Linked DNA regions of Mytilus edulis. The protein of the gene in region 2 interacts with the protein of the main gene of each other region in a pairwise test. Links are inferred from orthologs where the notes say so. Each region holds a gene or a part of one and is shown on either strand. Other genes may lie near its edges. The genes, in order: protein Dr1-like and transcription initiation factor TFIID subunit 11-like.

Region 1 (12,713 bases), on a different chromosome or scaffold from region 2:
TTTTGCAAATTGCTTTTTAAAAGTTCAGAATATCTTATATATACTTTTTTAAAAGCCGTAAATTATTTATAACATAAATGTGTATACTAAATAGGGAATATTAAGTAAAACAGAGAGTTTATATATACAAGAGGACAGTGACTCAGTCACAAAAGGTTTACATCAAAGTCTAAGAGACAATATGATATCAATAAAATTCCAATAAAATCCAATGACGATTTTGACACAAATAGGGTTGGAAATTAATAATATAACAATTATAGTCTATGTTAGTCCTAGATTACTAAGTAGATAATTGCCCGTCTAAAATAGATGCGCTGCTTCGTCCCCTCTGGTGCCAACGGACGGCCCTGGAATTATATAAATCGGGCATCAATTTGTTCATTTTTCATTTATTTCTTCATTTATGTAAGTTTCACCTACCTGCCACCCTTTATTTTCTCTTTTTAGACAGTTTTCACAGTGACCCATTGATTCAGACATTTTTACAGTTATTTTCAAATGCATGGAAGTTAAATTACGAGAGATTTCGCGACCTCGAGACTCAAATATGCAAATGTTTATACTTTTTTCACCTCCTTTATAGGGGATCGTTATTTAACATTTAGTAGTCAACCATGATTTTTCACCTCCTTCACAGGAGATCAGTATTAAGCATTTAGTGCCAACCACGATCACATTCGGAAGCTCTTAGATATTAACATTGATGGCATCGTTAATGAGGGAGGTGTTAGATTATATATTCATATTGACCTAAGGTCATATCATTTCTCATAGTCCATTGTGCCTAAGTTTTTTCTCGTGATCACATGACAGTAGTTGAAATGCAAGAACCGGTGGGTCACTGTGAAAACTGTCTAAATATGAGAAAATAAAGGGTGGCAGGTAGGTGAAACTTACATAAATGAAGAGATAAACTAGAGGCTCTCAAGAGCCTGTGTCACTCACCTGTTACTGATGTCGGCCATCTTGGTTGGTAGGCAGGGCTCATTAGACACTTTTTTAAAATAGATACCCTAGTAATGATTGTGGCCAAGTTTGGTTAAATTTGGCCAATAGTTTTAGAAAAGAAGATTTTTGTACAAGTTACAAAAATGACGAAAAGTTGTTCAATATTGACTATAAAGGACAATAACTCCTTAAGGGGTTCTCTGACAATTTTGGTCATGTTTGACTTATTTGTAGATCTTACTTTGATGAACAATATTGCTGTTTACAGTTTATCTCTATCTATAATAGTATTCAAAATAATAACCAAAAACTGCAAAATTTCCTTAAAATTACCAATTTTAGGGCAGCAACCCAACAACTGTTGTAGGATTCACCTGAAAATTTGTGAGGGGATTGATCTTATCCTGATGGACATTTAAATCTTTCTTAAAAGATTTGCCCTAAATGTCTTGGTTTCGAAGAAATAAAGCAAAAACTGCATTTTACCACTATGTTATAATTTTAGCCATGTCGGCCATTTTGTTTGGTAGGTGGGGTCATCGGACACATTTTTTAAAGTATATACCACAATTATGATTGTGGCCAAGTTAGTTTAAATTTGGCTGAGTAGTTTCAGAGAAGAAGATTTTTGTACAAGTTACAAAAAAGTTGTTAAAATTGACTATAAAGGGCAATAACTCCTTAAGGGGTTGACTGACAATTTTGGTCATGTTAACTTATTTGTAGGTCTTATTTTGCTGAACATTATTGCTGTAACAGTTTATCTCTATCTATAATAGTATTCAAAATAATAACCAACCAGGTGTTCCGCAGGGCGCAGCTTTATACGACCGCAGAGGTCGAACCCTGAACAGTTGGGGCAAGTATGGACAAAACATTCAAGCATGATACAGCTCTGAACTTGGATTGTGATCAAATTTTTGACATTATATGGGTTTTTTACACAAAAACAAATGTCAAGATTTTACAAATCAATTAAAGATTTCTTCTTCAAACTTATTTAAATCTAAAATTAAATAGTTGACACAGAATAGGTTTCTGACACAGAATGAATGTGGACTAATGAACTTAAAATTATTTTTTTTTGCCTTTGAGCAATTCACTATGCTGTTGAATATTAATCCTCTCAAAAATATGTTTGAAGAAATTTTCTTTTTATTTATGAAATCTGAAATGAGAAAAATTTAACCCCCCCCCCCCTCTCATTTTTTTTTTCACATCCCCCTTTCCCTTTTTCCAAAACTGATATCAATTCAAATTTCTAATGGAGTTTGCAACAATAACTACTCTTAAATACATCATAAAATATTAAAATGTAAAATAAAGTGCTTGTTATCACTGAATGGTAAAGATTGGTTGGTAGTAAAAGTAAATATACATTGTATATTGTATAAAACAATGATTTAAGTTGATTCAACTACTATTCTGAACAAAGAAAGATAACTCCAATTGAAAATTTCTTGCTATTGCACAATATTGTGCAATTAGATATTTCTTACTATTGCGCAATACTGTGTAATTGAAAATATTTGCTATTGCACAATACTGTGCAATTGAAGATTTCTTGCTATTGCTGAATACTGTGCAATTGAAAATTTCTTGCTATTGCTCAATACTTAATTTAATAATTTTGGATCCTGATTTGAACCAACTTGAAAACTGGGTCCATAATCAAAAATCTAAGTACATGTTTAGATTCAGCATATCAAAGAACCTCAAGGATTCAATTTTTGTTAAAATCAAACTAAGTTTAATTTTGGACCCTTTGGACCTTAATCTAGACCAATTTGAAAACGGGACCAAAACTTAAGAATCTACATACACAGTTAGATTCGGCATATCAAAGAACCCCAATTATTCAATTTTTGATGAAATCAAACAAAGTTCAATTTTGGACCCTTTGGGCCCCTTATTCCTAAACTGTTAGGACCAAAACTCCCAAAATAAAACCCAACCTTCCTTTTATGGTCATAAACCTTGTGTTTAAATTTCATAGATTTCTATTTACTTATACTAAAGTTATGGTGCGAAAACCAAGACTAATGCTTATTTGGGCCCCTTTTTGGCCCCTAATTCCTAAACTGTTGAGACCTCAACTCCCAAAATCGATCCAAACCTTCCTTTTGTGGTCATAAACCTTGTGTTTACATTTCATTGATTTCTATTTACTTATACTAAAGTTATTGTGCGAAAACCAAGAATAATGCTTATTTGGGCCCTTTTTTAGCCCCTAATTCCTAAACTGTTGGAATTAAACATCCCAAAATCAATCCCATCCTTCCTTTTGTAGTCATAAACCTTGTGTTAAAATTTCATAGATTTCTATTTTCTTAAACTAAAGTTATAGTGCGAAAACCAAGAAAATGCTTATTTGGGCCCTTTTTGGCCCCTAATTCCTAAAATATTGGGACCAAAACTCCCAAAATCAATCCCAACCTTCCTTTTGTGGTCACAAACCTTGTGTCAAAATTTCATAGATGTCTATTCACTTTTACTAAAGTTAGAGTGCGAAAACTAAAAGTATTCGGACAACGACGACGATGCCGACGACGCAGACGACGACGCCAACATCATACCAATATACGACCAAAAAATTTTCAATTTTTGCGGTCATATAAAAACTGCAAAATTTTCTTAAAATTACCAATTCAGGGGCAGCAACCCAACAACAGGTTATCCGATTCGTCTGAAAATTTCAGGGCAGATAGATCTTGACCTGATCAACAATTTTACCCAAGTCAGATTTGCTCTAAATGCTTTGGTTTTAAAGATATAAGCCAAAATATACATTTTACCCCTGTGTTCTATTTTTAGCCATGGCAGCCATCTTGGTTTGATGGCCAGGTCATAGGACACATTTTTTAAACTAGATACCCCAAGGATGATTGTGGCCAAGTGTGATTAAATTTGGCCCAGTAGTTTCAGAGGAGAAGATTTTTGTAAAAGTTTACGGACCCCAGACCACGGACGACGGACGCCAAGTGATGAGAAAAGCTCACTTGACCTTTCAGGTCAGGTGAGCTAATAAAAAATGAACAAATTGATACCCGATTTATATAATTCCAAGGCCGTCTGTTGGCACCAGAAGCGAAGAAGCAGCGCATCTATTTTGGATGGGCAAATATCCATTTTTGATATGGGACAAGCTCTGACGTCCCATGGCCCCAGCTTGTCTGGCAAAACATCCGTTGGATGTCAGAGTAATCAAAGACCAAGTCTATGTATGAAGTCAATACAGGATACACTGACCCAAAGAAGTATATCTACCTAGGACTTCGTCCTCTGTCAATATACTTCTTTCAGGTCAATATTTCCTCCTGTGATATCATCTTCAATTTGTTGAAGGTGATCACTATATGTTAGAATAGAATAGAAAATAGAGAATACATCCTTGTAGCGACCTCAGGGTAACACGAATGACCGAATAACACTGTTATTATCCTAATAAAACATAGAATAGAACATGGCGGCCAATGTGATGTCTGTGGTCACCATGTTGGACGTACACACTAAATTTTAAAAGTTTGTTATGAACTAATCTTCTTTCTACAGTCAGGGGACTTACTGAAATAAGTGATTTTTAAATCACTTATTTGAGTAGCAAATTCAAAGTTTTGTCACAAATTGGGATTTTGTAGTTTTTTCAAAATTTTAAACACATAGGTTTAAATAATATCTTTTAATTAGTAAAATTGAAAAAAATGAACTTTTTGCTTCTTTTAAGTAGTAAGGTTTATGCCTTTGATGCTATCATTTAGCTGAAAATTCTATTTTAGTTGAAAAAATGCTATAATAATGGCTTTACATAATGAACTGATACTTTCATAACAGATTTTTCCAGGCAGTGGGAGTATTTTTCCTGTAAAGTTCAAGGTTTCATCTTTCAGATTATGTAATAAAATTCTACTGTTCGCGATAAAAATTTCACTGTTCGCAGGTGTTGAAATTAGTGGGGGTTATTAAAATAATGATACTTAAATAAGTGATTTTTGGGAAGGAAATTGAGGTATGATACTTAAACAAGTGATTTTAATGTCATTATCCTAGATTCAGTACAAGGTCATCACCTGAAATGACCTGGTCATCCTAAACAACACAGATGTTGGTTCTGATAAGTTTAGAAACATAATTAGTCCCTGGATCATTTGTATTCTTTATTTAAAGCTACAATAAGATTAAATCACTTCTTCTAGTGATTAATTTGTACTACTTAAATAGGTGATTATTAAAGAAAGACAACTCTTACTTCCAACTTTTATGGAAATAATGTTACTTAAACCAGTGATTTAGAAAATCACTCATTAAGTAAGTATAAATCATTTATAAGTTATGAAATACATTGATAATATACTATAATTTAATGATCAATGTTTAAAAGTCACCAATATGTGGTAATATTAAAAATTTCAAGTGTTATTCAGTCTTTACAAGTGTAATTTGGATATTAACAGTGTTATTCGGTCATTCGAGGTACTGTCGACCTCATACAAAGGCTATAATTGTATGGTATTGCAAATATGCAAAATGGCTACAATACCAACTGTATCCCCAAACAATTATAGCATATGCCTTATTATTACAAAGATATGTATAATGAACTATAAAATATACATTTTACATGTTTGTTTTGATTTCCACAGTTGCTTCGAGTTTGATATTTTGCCATTACGTTCTTGTTTGTCAATCGCTCGTTTGGATTTATATAAAGCATTCATTCATTGTTGGGATATATTTCGTTAACATACATTAGAGTTCTATATTCTTACAAGGGCTTTGTTAAAATAGTACGTTGCAATCAATGAAACATTTCTTTCTTTCCTTCTGTTTAGGAAGAGAAGGGAGGTAATTAGAAAATTATAAATGTGTAATCAATTTCGGCTTTTGTTTCCGGATTTTACGAGGTCTCGGTCACCCCAACTCCCACTCCAACTTTGTAAAATAAGATAGACCTACCAGAGACATAGATACTCATTATATATATGTCTCTGAACCTACTTTGACAAAAATAGAACATTTGATGTTATTGTTTACTAAAAAAAACCAGGAACATATATATATTAACAGTTAGATATACTGTTCCCAGAACAAACAAAATCCAGAAATGAGAAACTTTTGTTGCAAGAGAAATATATTGTATCTGATTTTATGCCCTTTATGGGCCCTGTAATTTGGAAAATAAAAATCATGTTTCTATTCTATTCTATTCTATTCAGGCCATTTTGAGCAAAAATTTAATTGTCTACCGATTTTGCATTAAAAATTTATGCGCCCCATGGTATACTTCTTTAAGGATTGTATCTTTTTTTCAAAGCTAAACATATTGACATTTTATAGAAAATCTTCAGCATTTCCCTATATACACAAAGGAGGTTAATTATCACGTTATCATGTATACCTCCCAGTGGCGTAGCTGGGTCATTTTTACGTGTACGCCCGAACCTTGGCGAGGGATATGAGGGGTGTCAACCGCTCAATGTTAAAGCACCTGCTGGTAGTGGGTTCGAAAGGGACGAAGCCCCCGAAAGCTATCGAGAATGAGATACCGTAATGATTCCTGTCAGTAAAAAATCATTGATAGCAACATACTTTTGAATCCGTAAATGGTTTGTTTGTTTTGGTTAAATCTTGTAATATGTTAACTTATTCATCGTGTTAAACTGGAAGCTAGCCTAATGGTCATTGGTTTTACAGAAAACGTCCAAACCAATATTACTTTTAAATAAGTTTAAATGGTGCCGTGAGTGAGCATACAATCCACAAAAGCACCTTTTAATGAACACGAAAAAAAAATATTTCTAAGAGGTGCAATATAAAAAAACTTCTGGAACACCTAGGATTTCTTCCCACAAAAAGTGAATCAATTTATCGTTCCTTTAAAGGGATTTAAAAAAAATCTAAAATTTTCTTTTGATATTTTTTTTCTTGATCTGGAATATTTCACGACAATCTATGAAGGTTTATAAATTGAGCATGTAAAACAATTAATTGCGTAAAGAAGAGTCCGGCTATCCTGCTGTCTATCAGAAAAGAATAGAAAATTAACGAAAAAAATGCTTTCAAAATTTTAGCTTTAGAAATAAGTAATAGAAAAAAAAGCTTCTTCGGCATTTTCATAAAATTCGATGAAGGTTCGACAAGTAGTTAATGTAATTGAGAAATAACAAAATGTAAGCCCAAACTGCGACCACTTATTAATTGCAGAAAGAAATACATTTTGTCCTTAAAATGCGGGAAAATTAAAGATATAATTGCATTATTATATTGCTCTGAATACTCTCTTGTTCATAAACAGTTTCTGTCCAACTTTCGTAAAATTTCACGGAAAGTCATTCAAAAGACTTTATCCACATTCGGAACCTAAATGTTGTCTCGCTTTTGGGACATAAATCACTGGCTCGACAAAAATACAAACAGCATATCGAATCTGAGCAGATAGTGAATTGCTTTAAATATAAGAAAAGTACGTAGAATTCATAGTAGATTCAGACTTTTACCAAAGATTCGAACAAATATATTAAATGATTTATTTGAGTAAATTTAGTCCCTTTTTATTCAAAATTACAATCCATTGAAAAAAGAAGCACAAGGCTGATGTGCTTTTGACCAGTTTTTCTTATTCTATGTCGAATATTTGTTTTATTTTAAAAATTCAAGTGTACGCCCGGGCGTTTTGACGTAAACGTAGCTACGCGCATGAATGAAATACAGGGGGAGTCCCTGGGGTCACCCCACCACTCCTGTTTGGGAACTTTGAAACAGTCGAGATCCCCACCCCTAAACCATATATATTTATGTATGGGACAATATAATAAATCGAATGAAATATAGGGGGAGTCCCTGTGGGTCATCCCACCCCTCCTGTTTGAGAACTTGGAAACGGTCGAGATCCCCACCCCTAAACCATATCATGAAAATTATTCATGTATGGGACAATATAACAAATCAATATGAAATATAGGTGGAGTTCGTGGGGCCACTCTACCCCTTCCTGTTTGAGAATTTGAAAACGGTTGAGATCCCCTCCATAAACCATATATATATTCATGTATTGGACAATATAATAAATCAAATGAATTATAGGGGGAGTCCCTAGGGTCACTGCACCCTCATGTTTGAGAACTTGGAAACAGTCGAGATCCTCACCACGTAACCATATATACTCATGTATGGGACTAAATAACAAATCAATAAAATATAGGGGAAGTCCCTGTGGTCACCCCAACCCTCCTGTTGTTTGAGAACTTGGAAATAGTCGAGATCATAGCCTTAAATTAAACCATATATTTTCATGTATGGGAAAAAAGAACAAATCAAATGAAATATAGGGAGAGTCCTAAGGGTCACCCCTATCCAATCCTGTTTGATAACTTGGAAACAGATGAGATCCCAACCCCTCAACCATATATATTCATGTATTGGACAATATAACAAATCAAATGAAATATAGGGGAAGTCACTGGGGTCCCCCACCCCTAAACCATATATATTCATATATGGGACAATATAACAAATCAAATGAAAAATAGGGGTAGTCCCTAGGGTCACTCACACCCTCTTGTGTGTGTTTTGAGAACTTGTAAAAGATTGAGATACCAACTCCTAAACCATATTCATTCCTGTTTGTCATTTCAAAAAGATTGAATGACATACAAGGTCAATCTCATAGGCGTCACATATGCATATCAATTTGCTAGACCTAACACCTGTCATTTTATTCCGAACTTAGACATCATGGACTTGGGTTGAAGGTGGGAGTCATTTACATTTACTATGAACAGGTCAGTCAGACCTCACTATTGATCCCTGTAGTAGTAAACATTTGTGTCTGATTTGTGTCTCATAACTTTTGTACTGTAGAACACAAACTCAGTTTTCTTTCCAGGGAATTCGAAGCAAGTCCATTCATATTTTACAAGCTCGTACTAAAGTCAACTTAAAATACAAACAGTCAACTAATACGAACAATTACGATCAACTAGAAGAACTGCAATCATTGCGAATTTGTACCACTGCTGACTCGAGACTCATGACCATGAAAAAAATATACTTGATATATACGTTGCTATTGAAAACCTTGATAAAATATGAATTATTTGCCTTAATGATTAATTCATTAAATGAACATAAATGTACAATTATATATGAATGTTTAATGTTTGTTCTTTTAAATCTTTAAAAAAAAAATGAAGCAATATTGCCACAGTTTTCATAATTATGTTTGACTTGGTTTTTGGTTAACTGCCTACAGTGCTTACAGCGCTTTGATTTTTAATTAGTTGCTTGGTGACAAGATATCATGGGGAACATTATCAAACCTACCTACCTACCTATGTAGTCCTTTTTATGCCCGGAGTTACATAAGGCAAAGACTAGATCTTTCTAATCATATCTGGTGTGCACAAGGATAATAGTTACGCTGAACGGTGCCCACTGGTCACCCTATAAATAGTACTCTTCTGTGTAGTAATATTGGTGTTCTAAAAATAGAAAACTAAAAATAGACCATTCTTCTTTCTATTTAGCAATACACCATATATCTAGAGCCTGTCACCGTCTGTATTATCTGTAAGTAAAATCAACATACCGAGCAATTGAATACAACGAATAACACAAACTTAAGTTTAATTAAGTCATTCAAAGCAAAATATTCGTTTCATCCATTTTGCATGATTTGTCATTTGTGATGACACGTTTTTTTGAATGTTCGAATCACAGACTAGAAGGAAATCTTCTTTTTTCAGAAGTCCCCAGAAAATGGAGATGAGAGTGGTATGTATGCATTTAATTTATTGTATAAAACCTTTAATATGATGGAAACATACACTATGTTTATATAATGCTGCAACTATTATTCTTTTTGAACTTAAAACTTGCAATCGTTTCTGGTAAAATGGCCACTTAGGCTTGATTTAACAAATCATTTTTATGTTTCTTGATTACCTTACACAAATATAGAATTTGATTACATGTGGTCATCTTAACCAGAAATGGGATTTGTTAACATCTGTTAAACTTTATATGTTAGAATGGGGTAACTTCTGGTCACCTTATGTTAATATTAGATTTGGTGACTTCTGGTCACCTTATGTAAATATTGGATTTGGTTACCTCTGGTCACCTTATGCAGATTTCAGATTTGGTCATCTCTGGTAATTAACATTTACATACAACTAGTTGATGTTTTTCATATCATTTGTAGAAAGTTTGAGACGATCAAAGAAAGAGAAAAAAGAAGAAGAACAGGTTTGATATACATTTTGGGTTCAACAAGAATATAGAATATTATTACATTAAGTTTAATATATCGATAAAACTTTACACAATGAACATTATCTTTCATGATCATCTACAAACAAATCAAAGAAAAATCCTTGATCTTTCAAATATTGCCAAGAGCATGAACAGTCGATAATTTAGTCAATATTTCTACTTATCCTCATCAGATACTTTTGGATAAATGAAATTGAATTTACTAATACAATTATCATATGTTTATCTTCTTTTTTCAGAACTCCTCAGAAAATGTAGATGAGAGTGGTATGTATGCATTTTATTTATTGTATTAAACCTTTAATATGATGGAAACATACACTATGCTTATATAATGCTGCAACTATTCATCTTTTTGAACTTAATACTTGCAATCGTTTCTAGTAAAATGGCCACTTAGGCTTGATTGAACAAATCATTTTTGTTTCTTGATTACCTTACACAAATATTTAATTTGATTACATGTGGTCATCTTAACCAGAAATGGGATTTGATAACCTTTGGTGGCCTTAACATGCTAGAATGGGGTAACTTCTGGTCACCTTATTCATATATTGGATTTGGTGACCTCTGGTCACCTTTTGTTAATATTGGATTTGAAGACCTCTGGTAATATAAGATTAAGTTACCTCTGGTCACCTTATTTATATATTAGATTTGGTGACCTCTGGTCACCTTATGTTAATATTGGATTTGGTTATCTCTGGTCACCTTATGTTTATATTGGATTTGGTTATCTCTGGTCAACTTATGTTTAAATTGGATTTGGTTACCTCTGGTCACTTTATGTTAATATTAAATTTGGTGACCCTGGTCACCTTATGTAAATATTGGATTTGGTTACCTCTGGTCACCTTATGCAGATTTCAGATTTGGTCATCTCTGGTAATTAACATTTACATACAACTAGTTGATGTTTTTCATATCATTTGTAGAAAGTTTGAGACAATGAAAGAGAGAGAAAAAAAGAAGAAGAACAGGTTTGATATACATTATTGGTTCAACAAGAATATAGAATATTATAACATTAAGTTTAATATACCGATAAAACTTTACACAATGAACATTATCTTTCATGATCATCTACAAACAAAGCAAAGAAAAATACTTGATCTTTCAAACATTGCCAAGAGCATTGCCAGTTGCTAATTAAGTAAAATAATACTGATCCTCATAAGATACTTTTGGATAAATAAAATTGAATTTACTAATACAATTATCCTATATTTATCTTTTTTTTTTCAGAAGTTTTCAGAAAATGTAGATGAGAGTGGTATGTATGCATTTAATTAATTGTGTCAAACCTTTAATATGATGAAAACATACACTATGTTTATATAATGCTGCAACTATTATTCTTTTTGAACTTAAATCTTGCAATCGTGACTGGTAAAATGGCCACTTAGGCTTGATTGAACAAATCATTTTTTTGTTTCTTGATTACCTTACATAAATATTTAATTTGATTACATGTGGTCATCTTAATCAGAAATGGGATATGTTAACCTCTGGTGGCCTTAACATGCTAGAATTGGGTACCTTCTGGTCACCTTATTCATATATTGGATTTGATGACCTCTGGTCACCTTATGTAAATATTGGATTTGGTGACCTCTGGTCACCTTATGTTAATATTAGATTTGGTGACCTCTGGCCACCTTATGTTAATATTGGATTTGGTTACCTCATGCTGAATTCAGATTTGGTTACCTCTTGTCATCAAAACATAAGTCGTGTTATGTTTTTTATCATTTGTAGGAAATGTAAGACAATCGAAGAGAGGAAAAAAGGAACAAGAACAAGAACAGGTTTGATATGCATTACTGCATGTTACATTAAAAATATTAATTACACTCAACAGAATGAACATTGTCTATCCTGATCTTTTAAAAAACAAATCTTAGAAAATCATTGACCTTGCAAACATTGCTAAGAGTATTGACAGTTGATAATTTAGTCAATTTTTATTTATCCAATAAGATAGTTTTGGATAAATAGAATTGAATTTACTAATACAAATATCATTTGTTTATCTTCTTTTTTCAGAAGTACTCAGAAAATGTAGATGAAAGTGGTATGTATGCATTTAATTTGTTATATATAATTCTTATATATGATGGATAAGTACATCAAGTGTGTATGATACTGAAACTATAATTCTATTTGAACTTAAAACTTGTTATCGATAGCTGTAAAATGGCTACTTCGGTTTGATTGAAAAGTTCATTTTTTTGGTATATTTAATTGGCTACATGTGGTCAACTTTACCAGATATGGTTTTTGAGTACCCTAAGTAACCTTAAAATGATATAGAATTGTGTTACCACTGGTCACCTAATGTAGATAATAGACTTGGTTACCTAAAGCAGATATTGTATTTAGTTATCTTTGGTCATTTTCTGTTGTTATTTGAATTCTCGTGGCACCTTTTGCAGATTTCGGATTTTGTTATTCACTGGTCATTAAAATTTACAAAAATTGGTCATATGTAG
Region 2 (12,994 bases):
GTATCCGTTATTCTGCAACTCCCTTTGAGATCTAATTATATGTGACAATAAATTATTGTGCTTCTCTCTCTGAATTTCGCTTTCTCTCAAGACATTTCACAGTAGTCTTTGTGGTACAGTGTATTTTCCAGAAAATACATCGTGTAAAAACATTTCCGAGGAAACCAAATTAACGGAGGTTGAGACATATGACATAAAAACAGATGTACATATTTATGTTTGATATGTCTACACCCCCCCCCCTTTCCCCCCAACCGAAAAAAAAACAAGAAAAAAACAATCGCACACAGGCTGAGACATGACTGGTAATATTGTGTTTTGTTATTTAGTCCATCTACACAAATGAGGTTGGACCTTAAACGGGACTCTGGGATCGGGTGTTTTTCAGCACGGGATTTTGGGATTGATCCTTTATGAATCCGGCTATTCTTTTTTCGAATTTCGGTATGGGATTGAAATTTCTATAAGTTCGGGACCTCGGGATTTCATGTTTTTAAAGCCGGGATTTCGGGATCAGGACCCCTGCACCCCCTGGATGCTGTCTTATTGAAGTACTGACTACTTACGGGATTTACATTTAACTTTCGGTACTGAAAGTCTGTGACATTGTGCATATTTTTCAGTCGGTATATATATATAGTAGTACTATGATATAGAGGTGATTGATATAATCTCGTTCTCAACCTTCAAGTTTTATGAGTGAATTTAGAATTGAGAACAGTTCTATTGTATATTGAGATGCTACTTTCAGCTAGGGTACATTTTTTTTTATTCGGTTAATTTTTACGAATCAATACTATTAGGATACTAAGCCCTGTATAAATCTTTAAACCAAATACTATTTATACATGTATCTATTTAAAGATTTGGGTTCTATTTTTAACATCGAAATTGCGGACGTGAAAGAAAGCACCATTAAAAAAAAACAACGTTAGATTACAAAATGTAGCGATGGATTAATGATCGTGAAACATCATTTTTGCTTATTTTTAATTTGTTATAGTCTAAAAACTGTGTATGAATATTAAAATAATTGTTCCAACCGTGAACAAGGTTAATTAATTTGTATTATAGTTTAGTGTCATCTATGACTGACTGACAGCAGCGGCGAATTTATGACCAGTATTAGTTTATGTGGTTCATTTCCTTTTCTCTAATTTGAAAATATTTTTACTTGTTCCGACTGGTGTGATAATTTTCAAAATATGGGAGATATTATAGTCTTACCGTACAACTTTTAACTTTAGTATTAATGTCCCAAAATTGCACCCTTCTGCTTATTTTCTGCTAGACGATGTCTTTTCCCAGTGAATATAGGGTTTTTGAAAGTACAGTTTTGACATACTACATATAGAATACTTCCGAGACCACACTGTTTTTTCTCATCACAATTATGTAGAAATAGTAGTGAGCAACAGTTTTCACACTTATTTTAACGTCAGCAGATATATACAAACGTCCTGATTTTCATTTTGAAGATCGTCTTCAGGACTGTTTTCATATTCATTTTCAATTTTTAATTTTAGAAAAACAAGTTCATTCTCCTATAAGTAACATACTTTCCGTCAAATTTACCGTTGACGTTGTCCCATCGAAAAGTCGCCGGGTGCAATTTTAACATTGCAAAATCTGGTCAAAGGGACGTAATTCGTACAAAACGTCGCAATATTTCGCGGAATCCGCTAGACGGCGTTCATTTACTGTTACTTTACCTTAACTAGTTCCACTTTTCAATAGAGAATGGTTTTTTTTTGTAACAGTTACATGTACTAAAAGTAAGTACATGTACATATTAAAATACAGGTCAAACAATAATGTTATTACAGTTAAACCAGCTTTAGCCTAATTGTTGATGATGTTTTAGCTACAAGTAAATGATGAACGCTAAGACAATAAAGCCAAGTCAATTTACTGTGTAAGTTTAAACCATAAATCATAATATGATATTTTTTACACTGGACGTTAAGCAACCAACAATCAATCAATCAATCAATGATATTTTTCCTCATTTGAAAACAAAGCTTATTCCAATCCAATGACATTACATTTGTATTTTTTATGTTATATGTATTTTTTGCAAAACATAGTACAAGTACAAGAGGCTGTCACAACGACAGCAAACCGGATTTATTAACATTTATTTGTGTCCTGGCTATATCACAAGAACCATTACTGATGAATGGTGAAAGTGAAAATCGTCAATATCAAATTTGACCTCCATTTTGTCATCAGTATCAACATATTAAAATTTGAAAAGCTTAGATTGAATGGTTCATGAGTAAATGCAACAACCTGAATGGAAACGCCATTTTACGATCTTTCAAGAACCATAACTCCTGAACGGTAAAAGTCAAAATCGTCATTATTGAACTTGACCTCTATTTTGTCATTAGTAACAACATATTAAAATTTCAAAAGCTTTGGTTGAATGGTTCATGAGAAAATGCACGGACACGACGGGAAAAACCATTTTTCAATCTTTCAAGAACCATAACTCCTGAACGGTAAAAGTCAAAATTGTCATTATTGAACTTGACCTCCATTTTGTCATCAGTAACAGCATATTAAAATTTCGGAAGCTTTGGTAGAACAGTTCATGCATAAATGCATAGACACGACTGGAAACTCTATTTTTCAATCTTTCAAGAACCATAACTCCTGAAAGGTAAAAGTCAAATTCGTCATTATTGAACTTGACCTCCATTCTTTCATTAGTAACAACATATTAAAATTTGGGAAGCTTTGGTAGAACAGTTCATGCGTAAATGCACGGACAACTCCATTTTTCAATCTTTCAAGAACCATAACTCCTGAACGGTAAAAGTCAAAATCGCCATTATTGAACTTGACCTTTGTATAGTTGTCAGTAATAACATATTAAAATTTTAAAAGCTTTGGTTGAACGGTTCATGAGTTAATGCACGGACAACATTTGATTGCCGCCCGCCCGCCCGCCCGACAGCCCGTCTGCCGCCCGCCCGCCCGCCGTACATCCCCAAATCACAAAAATCCGGTTAAAAATTGATCATAACATATAAACAGAATTATGTGCATTGAAGACTAAAAAAAATGAGTGAGTTTTATTGTAAAGTTTTTTTTGTGAAACATCTTCCTGTATCATGTGTATGTTATTTGACTGAAACTTGAATTGTTTCAAAGAAAACTTCTTCATACATACAAAGATGTCTTATATTAATGGTTTTGTTTGTTTAGTGGACTTTCTCTTCTTTAAAATTTTGTAGTGGTGTAACTGTTGTTTGTTCTGTTTCAACATGTACATGTTTACAAAATGTAGATTGACCCATTTGTACTCACTAAATTTGTAGTTTTTTATGTAATAAAAATGGCATTATATATGCATGAACAATTTTATACCCGAGTGATACTTCATAGAATGTTTGTTCAAGGCACCATACATGTACATATTTTATAATAATTATTTATACAAAAATTATATATTACCCTTTTAATTGAAGCTTTTGGAAATGCAGCTCTTCTGTACATTTCATATCTATTAAGTTGATCTTCTGTAAAGTTTGACACTAAAACCCTGAAATATACATTCAAAATTACAATACTTTTTCTTTAAACTGCAATTAAGTTCAATTAAAATCACAACTTTAACGCTGAAATAATAAGGTTAAAAGTGGAAGAAAATAATGTATCTATCTTTACTTTAGAATAAGGTCCGGAACACAATTACCATCCCTTGAAACAACTTTGTCAACAAAAGTTCCTAGTGAACATAAGGGCACCAATGATCTCCATGGATGAAAATTTATTGATCCAGCATCTACAGTGAAGTGTCATGGAAAGAATTTAATTCCTTTATTTGCATGTAAGGAATGGTGAACAAAAAACTTCAGAAGCCCCTTTCCAAAAAGTATTTAGCCACTTTTAACAAAAAATTTCATTGCAACATACTCTGCAATACACATTTGTTGATTATGAATGATAACCAGATGTTTTAAAAGGATTGTAAACTAGATATATGCTCTCTAAATTCAGATACAATGTAAGAAATTTCATCAGATTATCAAGTTCCAGTTAATATTCATATTTACTTTTTAATTTGTACAGGGATTCAATATCATCCCTTATTGATTTGCAAGTGTTCTTGGTACCAAATTATGTTTTCATTATGTCTTATTTTCACCTGTTTAAAAAGGGGATTGCTGATTGCGTAAGTCAGTATAAAAGCATGTGTTGAATGTTTTTGTTATTTTCTTTTTCACTTGTTAATAATTTATTTTTTTCATTCAAATTTTGATAGCATTTGCTGAACCAAAATAGTGTAATCAATTGTCTATCTTAATCAAGTGTTCTCCAGTCAGATGTGTCAATTTTTCTGTACAAGCTAGTGATTAGTGGTCTTTTGTAGGATATTATCCCTCAGGACTTTAAAACTGGAATTAGGAAAATTAAATTATACTTCAATAAGCCTATGGATTATGCAATTATGTACAACTGATTATAATTGCTGACATAAATGGCGGCAAGAGAACGAAACAAATTTGTCCATGACGGATGATTTAACGGTTGCAGGGATAATTAGAAGGAGGCTAGGCTCATATAGCAGGTCATGGAGATGAGGCGATTTGCCAGTGGGGAGAGGTTTGATGAATTCATTATACACCTTATCGCTATTTGTCTGCCATTACTGGATATCACACAGGTTCCCATAAAATTTAAATGTCATAAAACATAATAACTGACGCCAAATGGAAAAGTAATTGTTGTATGCATCAAGTTCAAACGGCCGGGACAGCTGGGATTACAATTAGTTGTATTCAGATTGGTTGTTTGTACAATGTCAATACGTACACCTTATCGCTATTTGTCCGCCATTACTGGATATCACACAGGTTCCCGTAAAGTTTTGACGTCATAAAACAAAATAACTGACGCCACAATGGAAAAGTGATTGTTGTATGCGTCAAAAGTTCAAGCGGCCGGGTCAGCCGGGATTAGCGATAAGGTGTATGACGTCCATGACATTGACAATGTAGATATTCAGTGTATTCAGAGGAACAAAGGTATGCCATTCACGTATACAACATTGAGAGCATACAACTGATTGTTTATTACGTACTGCATCTTCAATCGTTCTTCTTCTTGTTTTTCTTTTTTATGTTTATTAGCATTTTCCTCTTCTGGTGTTTCAAGCTTTCTTTTTCTTTCCTGAGATGGGCTAACACTTGATGCCTTTCCATCAGTTTTTGTCTCCTTTAGTTGCTTCTCTGGTGTTGTTTCACTCTCTGATCCAGATTGTCCTTCCTTCTCCACATCTTTTTCCACTTTTATAGGAGAGATTTTCGGTGAATCATTTGGCTGGCTCATTTTGTTTTCACCCGGAAGTGAATATCTGAGAACAAATGCACTTTCAAGTTTGATGTAATTTATGTTTGTATTAAACACATGTGTGACAGGACTAATCTCAGATGAAGGATTTCAAAAGTTGACGTTACGTCATCTTTTTTAAAAGCATTGATCTATTAGCTGAAAGTAAAATACTCAAAAGGTATATGATGACTTTAAAGTTCAACACTTTTGACCAAAAGTGCACTTTTCTCTCCGCCGAAAGCGTATGAATAACAAGTGCCCAGAATGTAAACAAAGTTTCAACATTATGTTTCGTGGTTCAAACTTAATTTGTTCTCCTTTTATTAATTCTGAGAAGACAATGATATGATTCTATAGTTCATTAGTATGGTTGATTTCTCAGCTAATCAATACTTAACTGGGAATGTTTGGTGAACTATTTAATGACATGATCGGCGGATGACCTCATTTCCGGTAAGAGTAAACAGTGAAATCACCTGGACATTTTATCAAGCAAGGAAAAAGAAGGGGAAAAGTGCCTGACAGTAATCTTTTCCATGTGAATTTTCACTTAACCGCTGAAATTTGGAGACTTAAGAATAAACTCCTGAAGGCCCGGGTAAGTAAATTATCAACCGTCAATACTGTCGCCCAGAAAACGGTTCAGTCATCATGAGTGATTAAAGCCCCACGTTATTCTTTTGGTATTGTCTGTTCAGTATGAAGAAACAATAGTGTCATATTGTATACCGTACTTCTAAGATACCAAAATTAAGACTTGCGGTAATTTGGAAGTTTTAAGATCAAAATGATTGGATGTCAGACTTATTCAGAAACTTTTTGAATGTCTGTGCGGTTCTTAAAATAATAGACAAGAGAAAACTTATAGCCTAATATAGGAAGTAAAATTGGTCATTGGAAAGGCTAAAACAATAAGTTTTAATAATCTCCCATATTTATATCTGTGTCAAATGTTAGGGATAAAGCATTAATTTCATTTAAAATTAATTTTCTCCTCTGTCTTGTCATGACACCATATATGATGGCCATAATACACTATCATGACTATAGGCAGTAGCAATTGCACTTACAATCTTGGAACGGCAAGATACACCATACCACACTCCTCAAAGCAAAGTTAAAGCTAAATGTTCAAACGAAGCAGAACCACACAATAGGTAGAAGCCAGTCCGCAATATCCAGACAGGATAGCCACATATCATCATCATGACTATATCGCTATTTGATCGCTAATACTGAACATCACTCGAGTTCTCGCAAATTTTGATGTCGTACATGTAGTAGTGAATGTCTTGACGCCACAAAAAAATGTAATAGTTGGTTGACGTCAATAGTTCATGTGTAATAGATTCATACATATACAATTCTAACAATTGCAGTGAAAGGCTTTGTACATGTATATAGAAATACAAACAGACACCTCCCAACCCCACAGCATTCAGGTGTGAGATTGATATGTTGCTGACACACTACCTGCATTGGTTTTTATATACAATTTACAATGTTTTAGTTTATTAGATGGTGTACCAGTGATATTGTAATCTTTTTTCAAAACTTCGGTTAACTACCTCTACCGTTTTTTATTGGGAAAATGCATATTTTTTTTTATTGAAATAGGGAAATTTGTATATTTTATTTAAAACCCATCTACGATTTTTTGCTGACCTGTGCTGTCTTTTTTGCACTGTTTTTCATGTATATTTTAATTTGGTTGTCAGACATTTTCAACCTGAAAGGTACTTTTTGGAGAGGGGAAAGAAACAGAAACAATGATGGTATTTATTGCATTGAAAACCACATGTGTTACAAACACCATGATGATTCTGATCAGAAAACCGGATCTCAAAAGTGCTTCCTAACATCAAAATAATAACATGAATACGAAATTTACAAACATTACTACCAATGCCATCACTGTTTGGGGAAAATGTAAACTTCAGGGATCTCCATGGCCTGTCTTGCGCCATCGTCAAATGACTTGCACTATCGTTCAAATGTCTTGCGCCATCGTCAAATGACTTGCGCCATCGTTCAAAACTGTGATAGTTTTTATAGCCTGATGCCATTTTTTTAGCAATTATAATCAAATGCATGTAATTGCATAACCTTCAGGCTTTCTTTACAGTATAATCCAGTTCAAACGCCTGAGGGATATCCGGATTAGATCGCTAATCACTTGTACCTGAGCCCTGAGCTTGTACAGGTAGATCAACAAAGCAGACAGGAGAATATTATCTGAAGATAGACGATTCATTTGTCAAATTATTTAATTAAGTTTCCGCAAATGCTTATGATAATTCAGATTAAATAAATAAATTAATAGTCCAGTTACAAAGTTTAACAACAACAAGTAGAACACATGCTTTTATTTTGACTTACGCAATCAGCATCCCCCTTTTTAAGAAGTACAAAATAAGACGTAAAACAGAGAAGTTATTATTTCATCGCATATAACTGGAGTACTGCTGTATTGTAACGATAATATATAGTGTTTCCTACAGGTGGTTTTGGCGTGTAATGGCGCCCTGCCGCGATTTCTTGACGCCCTGCCCTTTTTGGGGAAAAAAATTGGCGCCCTGCCCTAATTTTGTCGAAATTCCTGACGCCATGCCTTTATCGTCGTAATTAACAACCGGTACTGAAAGACATATTTTATGAATACCGCTCGAGTTATTTCCCTTCAAAACAAAAGTTCACTAGGTCGCCATTTAGTAATCGATTTCGTAATCAGCTGATTAGCAAACTGCAATAGATTGAATAGTGAATACAGATACTAATCACGGGTCCTGATTGTATCCCCCAAGTCCCAGAAACATCGTTTTGCCTAGAAGATTAATGAAAAAACATCGTTGTGATGCTTAGATAATTTTTTTTTACAGCTGATAGATTTCTAATTTACATAATTTACATTGTTTGCATGGTTGAACAAGCCAATGAACGGCGATCATGAGACATTTGTCAAATTGAAAAGTAAAAATTCTTTGCAAACTATTTTTTAGATACAAATGCTTGACTGTACCTTAAATGAAATGAATAAAAATCCAAACTAAATTATTAAAAGCAGAATAATCCAGAAAATAAATGAATTCCTTGATCAAATGTTTTCTTTTGTTTACAAACATGTCACATGATCATTTTAGGCGGGGAAAATACTTGGGAAAACACCTAAGTAACAGACAACTATGTCTGGCTATTTATAGACATTGAAAATAAACAGCTGATATGGTAGTGCCATGAAAGTAGTAAAACTTGTTGTATCTATATTAATTTAATTTGGAAAAGGGTGTAGAGGGGAAGGGGTTAATTTGTAAAGTTATTTTTTTTTGTAATTTAATAAATTTTGGTTACTAAAAATTACCCTGGATATCAGGGAATGTGTCAACCTGTTTTTAGGGAAAAAAAGGAGGATTTGTCAATGACAATTGATATGACCAAAGCAATATTTTTATATACATGTATATGACATAGTGCTTTCTTGTTTTTAAAGAACTGATTTTGTTTTTAATTGTGTTTATTGTTTTAAATATTTCATATATATATGTTTTAAACACTTTTTCTTGTTTAACAATTTGTTTTAATGATTGATTACAGATGTATATGTCCTTTTTATAGTATTAAACTAGTATGTTTTAAATGAATCCATTTTATAGAAATTAAGTAAGTGCCCTAAAATTGTTGTCCATCGCGCTTAATGTGCCCTCTGAGCTAACAATTACCCTGCCCTTTTTAAAAGCTGCAGGAAACACTAATATAGAATTACTTTAAATGTTAAAAAGTAAAAACTTTTAATATTTCCTGTAAATAAATATTGTATCGTAATTCCGAATTCATTTCGTAGTTTACAATCAAATTGATACATCCGCGTTTCCGGTTTCTATTCAGACTCGAAAGATGCATGTTGCATATAGTATCGATTTGCTAGATAAAGTCATTAAAAACCTTTTCATATGACAACGTTCGCTTTACAAATCTTTTTAACCTTTACATAACCCGTACGACTCGTTTTGTCGTTGCTGCAAACCAGCCACACCGGTAATGGATTCATGAATTCTGAATTTGACAATGTCCGTGAAAAATAAGCTCTACATGAATTTTAACCCCCATTACAATTGCCAAAAATAGCAAGAAAACTACATTAGGACCTTTCGTGATAGCTATTGGTCATTCTCGACTAAGGGAAAGGGAGGGACACAAGGGCTTGGCCTTTAAAGGTTACAAACGGCAATTATTGAAAATATATATACTTTTATATAGTATTTATAATGAAAATTCAAATAAATATAAATTAAATAAGCAATGTTCACCTATCCTTATGTGGAGGGATGAAATACTTTCGATCGCGCTACACTGTACGGCGTAAATACAGTTTATGATGGTGAAAGTTCCTCCATTGTTCAATTTTCATCCATGGAGATCCCTGAACTTTTTGGGAGGAATTTTAAACATTTTTTTTAGTAATTGGGAATTTTCTCTAGGGGAAAAAGCTGAATTTTGGCTGTAATATGAGGCAAACAATATCACTGTGTACATGTATGCCACCACTTTCAACTTACATGTACATCATTTATCTTCATTGCTTTGATTGGTAGAGCAATTCCTAATCAACCACCAACAAACTCTTTCACATTAATTTCAGATTAATATTCCCATGAAAAAAGTTCCTTCACACAAGAAAGTTGATTTCCTATGACATCATTTCACAAGCTCTTTCACACATACACAAAGATCAATCAGACAAGCTCTTTCACACTGATGCAGGAATAATAATTTCCAAATCCAACAAGCTCTTTCACAGGAAGATTGACATTCCAATCCCATAGGGCTCTTTCAAACACACAAAGATTGAATTCCCAATCTGACCAGCTCTTTTGAATTCACACACACGAAGATTGACTTCCAAATCTGACAAGCTCTTTCACACACACATATCAATTTCCTTTATAGCAAGCTCTTTCACATAGATGAAAGATTGTTTTCCCAATCTGTAAAGCTCCTTCACACAGGAATGCTGATTTCAAAATCCAACAAAACTCAACCAAAAATTGTTTTCCCTTCTTTAGTCATGATCATGGTTATAGAATTCTGTTAACTGTTTTCAAAGCTGTAATCAAAAGCAAAGAATGCAACACATACATGTATTCTTTGCTTATTGATAGAATGGACATTTTGTTGCATAAAGGTGGGAACACTGCATCGTCCAATTCAGTATTACTAGCAGTCTACATGCTTAACCACAAGTCCTACAGCATTGGCTAGTAAAATTCTTTTCTACGATTAAACAGAATCCAACTAAAATTTTCAAAAAATTGAGCTTCTGGCTTCTGAGCATGTGGACTCAAAAAGTTTTAAGCGTGAAGGTTGTAGTAATATAAATACTGAACATTTGATTTGTAATGAGGTAGGTCATTTAATCGACATTGACACCTGTTCGTTTTACAAACAAATACTATAAATTACTAAACATAATTAGTATACATTCTGAAACCTGCACAAACTTTATGTTAGCTTTATGTCAACAAGAAAATGTTAAGTTGTTTATATAATTCATTGATAGAATTAATTACATGTACATAATTGTACGGGAGAACTATATTAGACAAGAGGAGACCAATACAGATGTTTGATGATGACCGCATACATGTACAATGATGTATATGTATTACATAGTATTACATAATATTTGAGACTGCAGAATTTTGTCCTTGGTGCAATGTAGGCGTTAAGATATTGATTTCATTTAGCAGTTGATCTGTGTTATATATTTTATTGTATAAATTTCATTAAATGTTAATATGACTGTGGATATATTCTTCAATTGTTTAAATTAAAGGAGATGTAGGGTAAATCATTAATGACAAATCATTGTCCATGAAACAACAAATTAACACATAACTTAGTCTTTCATTGCTAGTACTTTTCCCATTTTAAACAAGTCATTGGTACCCCTTGATTAAGAAATGACAATATACATTGTATTATGTAAGGTATTCATAGAATAAATAAAAAAAGTTCCTCTCTAAAATGTTCGAAAGACCTACCCTACATTAAAAAAAGTATCAGAAGGTAGCATTATAGCCTTAAACAATGGATAAGATATATACCATTCTGTATGACAAACATGAAATTGTTCAGGATTTGAAGAGCTTATTTATTCACTCAAATTAGAACACCAATTATCTGACATGAGGATAATTGTATTCTTAGAACTGGATTATCAGCGGTACGGTACCCTTTTAGATCAGTTTTATATTGAAAAATCTAAATATAAACTTTTTTAAAATGTCTCAAAGTAATAATAAAAGTATTACACAATACCAAAACCATATCAAAATAATATTGCAATGTATATTCATGTATATATTAATTATGCACCTGTCATTCTAGAGTTATGCCCCTTTGCAAATAGAAAAATTGCTGAATCTTGTTTCTGCCACCTTACTTAAGTTTGCTTCAACCAAATGTTATAAATGAAACTAATATGCTATGCTTATTTTATAACCATTAAATACAGAACAAGTTTGAGTTTTGGCGATGTCACTTAAAATTTCTAGAGTTATGCCCCTTTACAAATGGAAAAATTGCTTATTTTTCTTTTCCGTTCTCTAGCTATACATATAGTTTGCCTCAACCAAATGTTAAACACTTATACACTATGCTTATTACCACAAAACTCAGATCAAGTACCAATTTGGGTAGTGTCACTTTTACTGTTCTTCAGTTATTATGCCCTTCATAACTTTATATGATATGCAAGCAGGCCTAAGGGCATCATGTGTGTCCCATGGACATATTCCCTATTTTGTAACATGTACAAAGATTGGCTGTAATAGTTCCTACCTTGAAGTTCTAAGTACAGTACTCAAAAGGGCCTTGCAATTGCTGGACAAAGTACTGTATTACTAGCCTGTAAAAACTGAGGTTGTGAGTTTGAATCCAGCATGTGGCAAGTTTGCTCAAGGTCAATCTTAGGATTGTAAGTTTTCCTACAGTACTACAGGTCAGTAGTTCTTTAGGCACTTGAACTTCCTAGGCTTCTACCAATAAAAACTGACTGCCAACAAACAGCACAAAAGTGCCAAAAGTAGAGTTAAAAACACCCACCAATTAAAGTACTCCATCATTGATGGATAATTGTATATAAGACCTATACATAATTACCAGACCTGCTGGACATATAATTTTATATTTAGATACTTTAATAACTGAGGAAAACATTACATTTTGCACATGTAAGTTAATGTTATGATGTTATGGTTTAAACCTTTCAACTTTTAAACAGTTATTATTATTTTTTATTTGCATGACATTAACTATTTATTTCTGACAAATTTGAACCCCATGTGAAATAATAACTTTTTACACTTGTTCTCTTAAAATCAGCTCAGCTGTTGTATTTCCAAATTACTCATAAATATAGCAATACAATGGGTGCTGCACGTCGTGTGGAGCAGGATCTGCTTACCCTTCCAGCGCACCTGATGAGATCACCCCAAGTTGTTGATGGGGTACATGTTGTTAAGTCTTTATTTTTCTATGTTGTTTTGTGTACTTATCTTTTTCTTTTTAAGCTATGGTGTTGTTGTTTTATTTTCAATGTATGAGTTTGAATGTCCCTCTGATATCTGTCGCCCCTCTTTTATGTCTGATGGAG

The links.
Region 1: the proteins of transcription initiation factor TFIID subunit 11-like (region 2) and protein Dr1-like interact in binary tests that used the Drosophila melanogaster proteins (3 or more experiments, as listed by UniProt). The link is inferred for Mytilus edulis from reciprocal best matches to the Drosophila melanogaster genes Taf11 and NC2beta.

The regions. Positions count from the first base shown.
Region 1 is NC_092345.1:62,857,747-62,870,459, forward strand, and holds the start of protein Dr1-like, read right to left. Parts: upstream 5,806-12,713; 5' UTR 5,718-5,805; intron 1-5,717. UniProt on the Drosophila melanogaster protein: Bifunctional basic transcription factor. Activates transcription of DPE (Downstream Promoter Element) containing promoters while repressing transcription of promoters which contain TATA elements.
Region 2 is NC_092350.1:19,131,187-19,144,180, forward strand, and holds the start of transcription initiation factor TFIID subunit 11-like, read right to left. Parts: upstream 5,387-12,994; 5' UTR 5,341-5,386; coding exon 5,093-5,340; intron 3,551-5,092; coding exon 3,463-3,550; intron 1-3,462. UniProt on the Drosophila melanogaster protein: The TFIID basal transcription factor complex plays a major role in the initiation of RNA polymerase II (Pol II)-dependent transcription.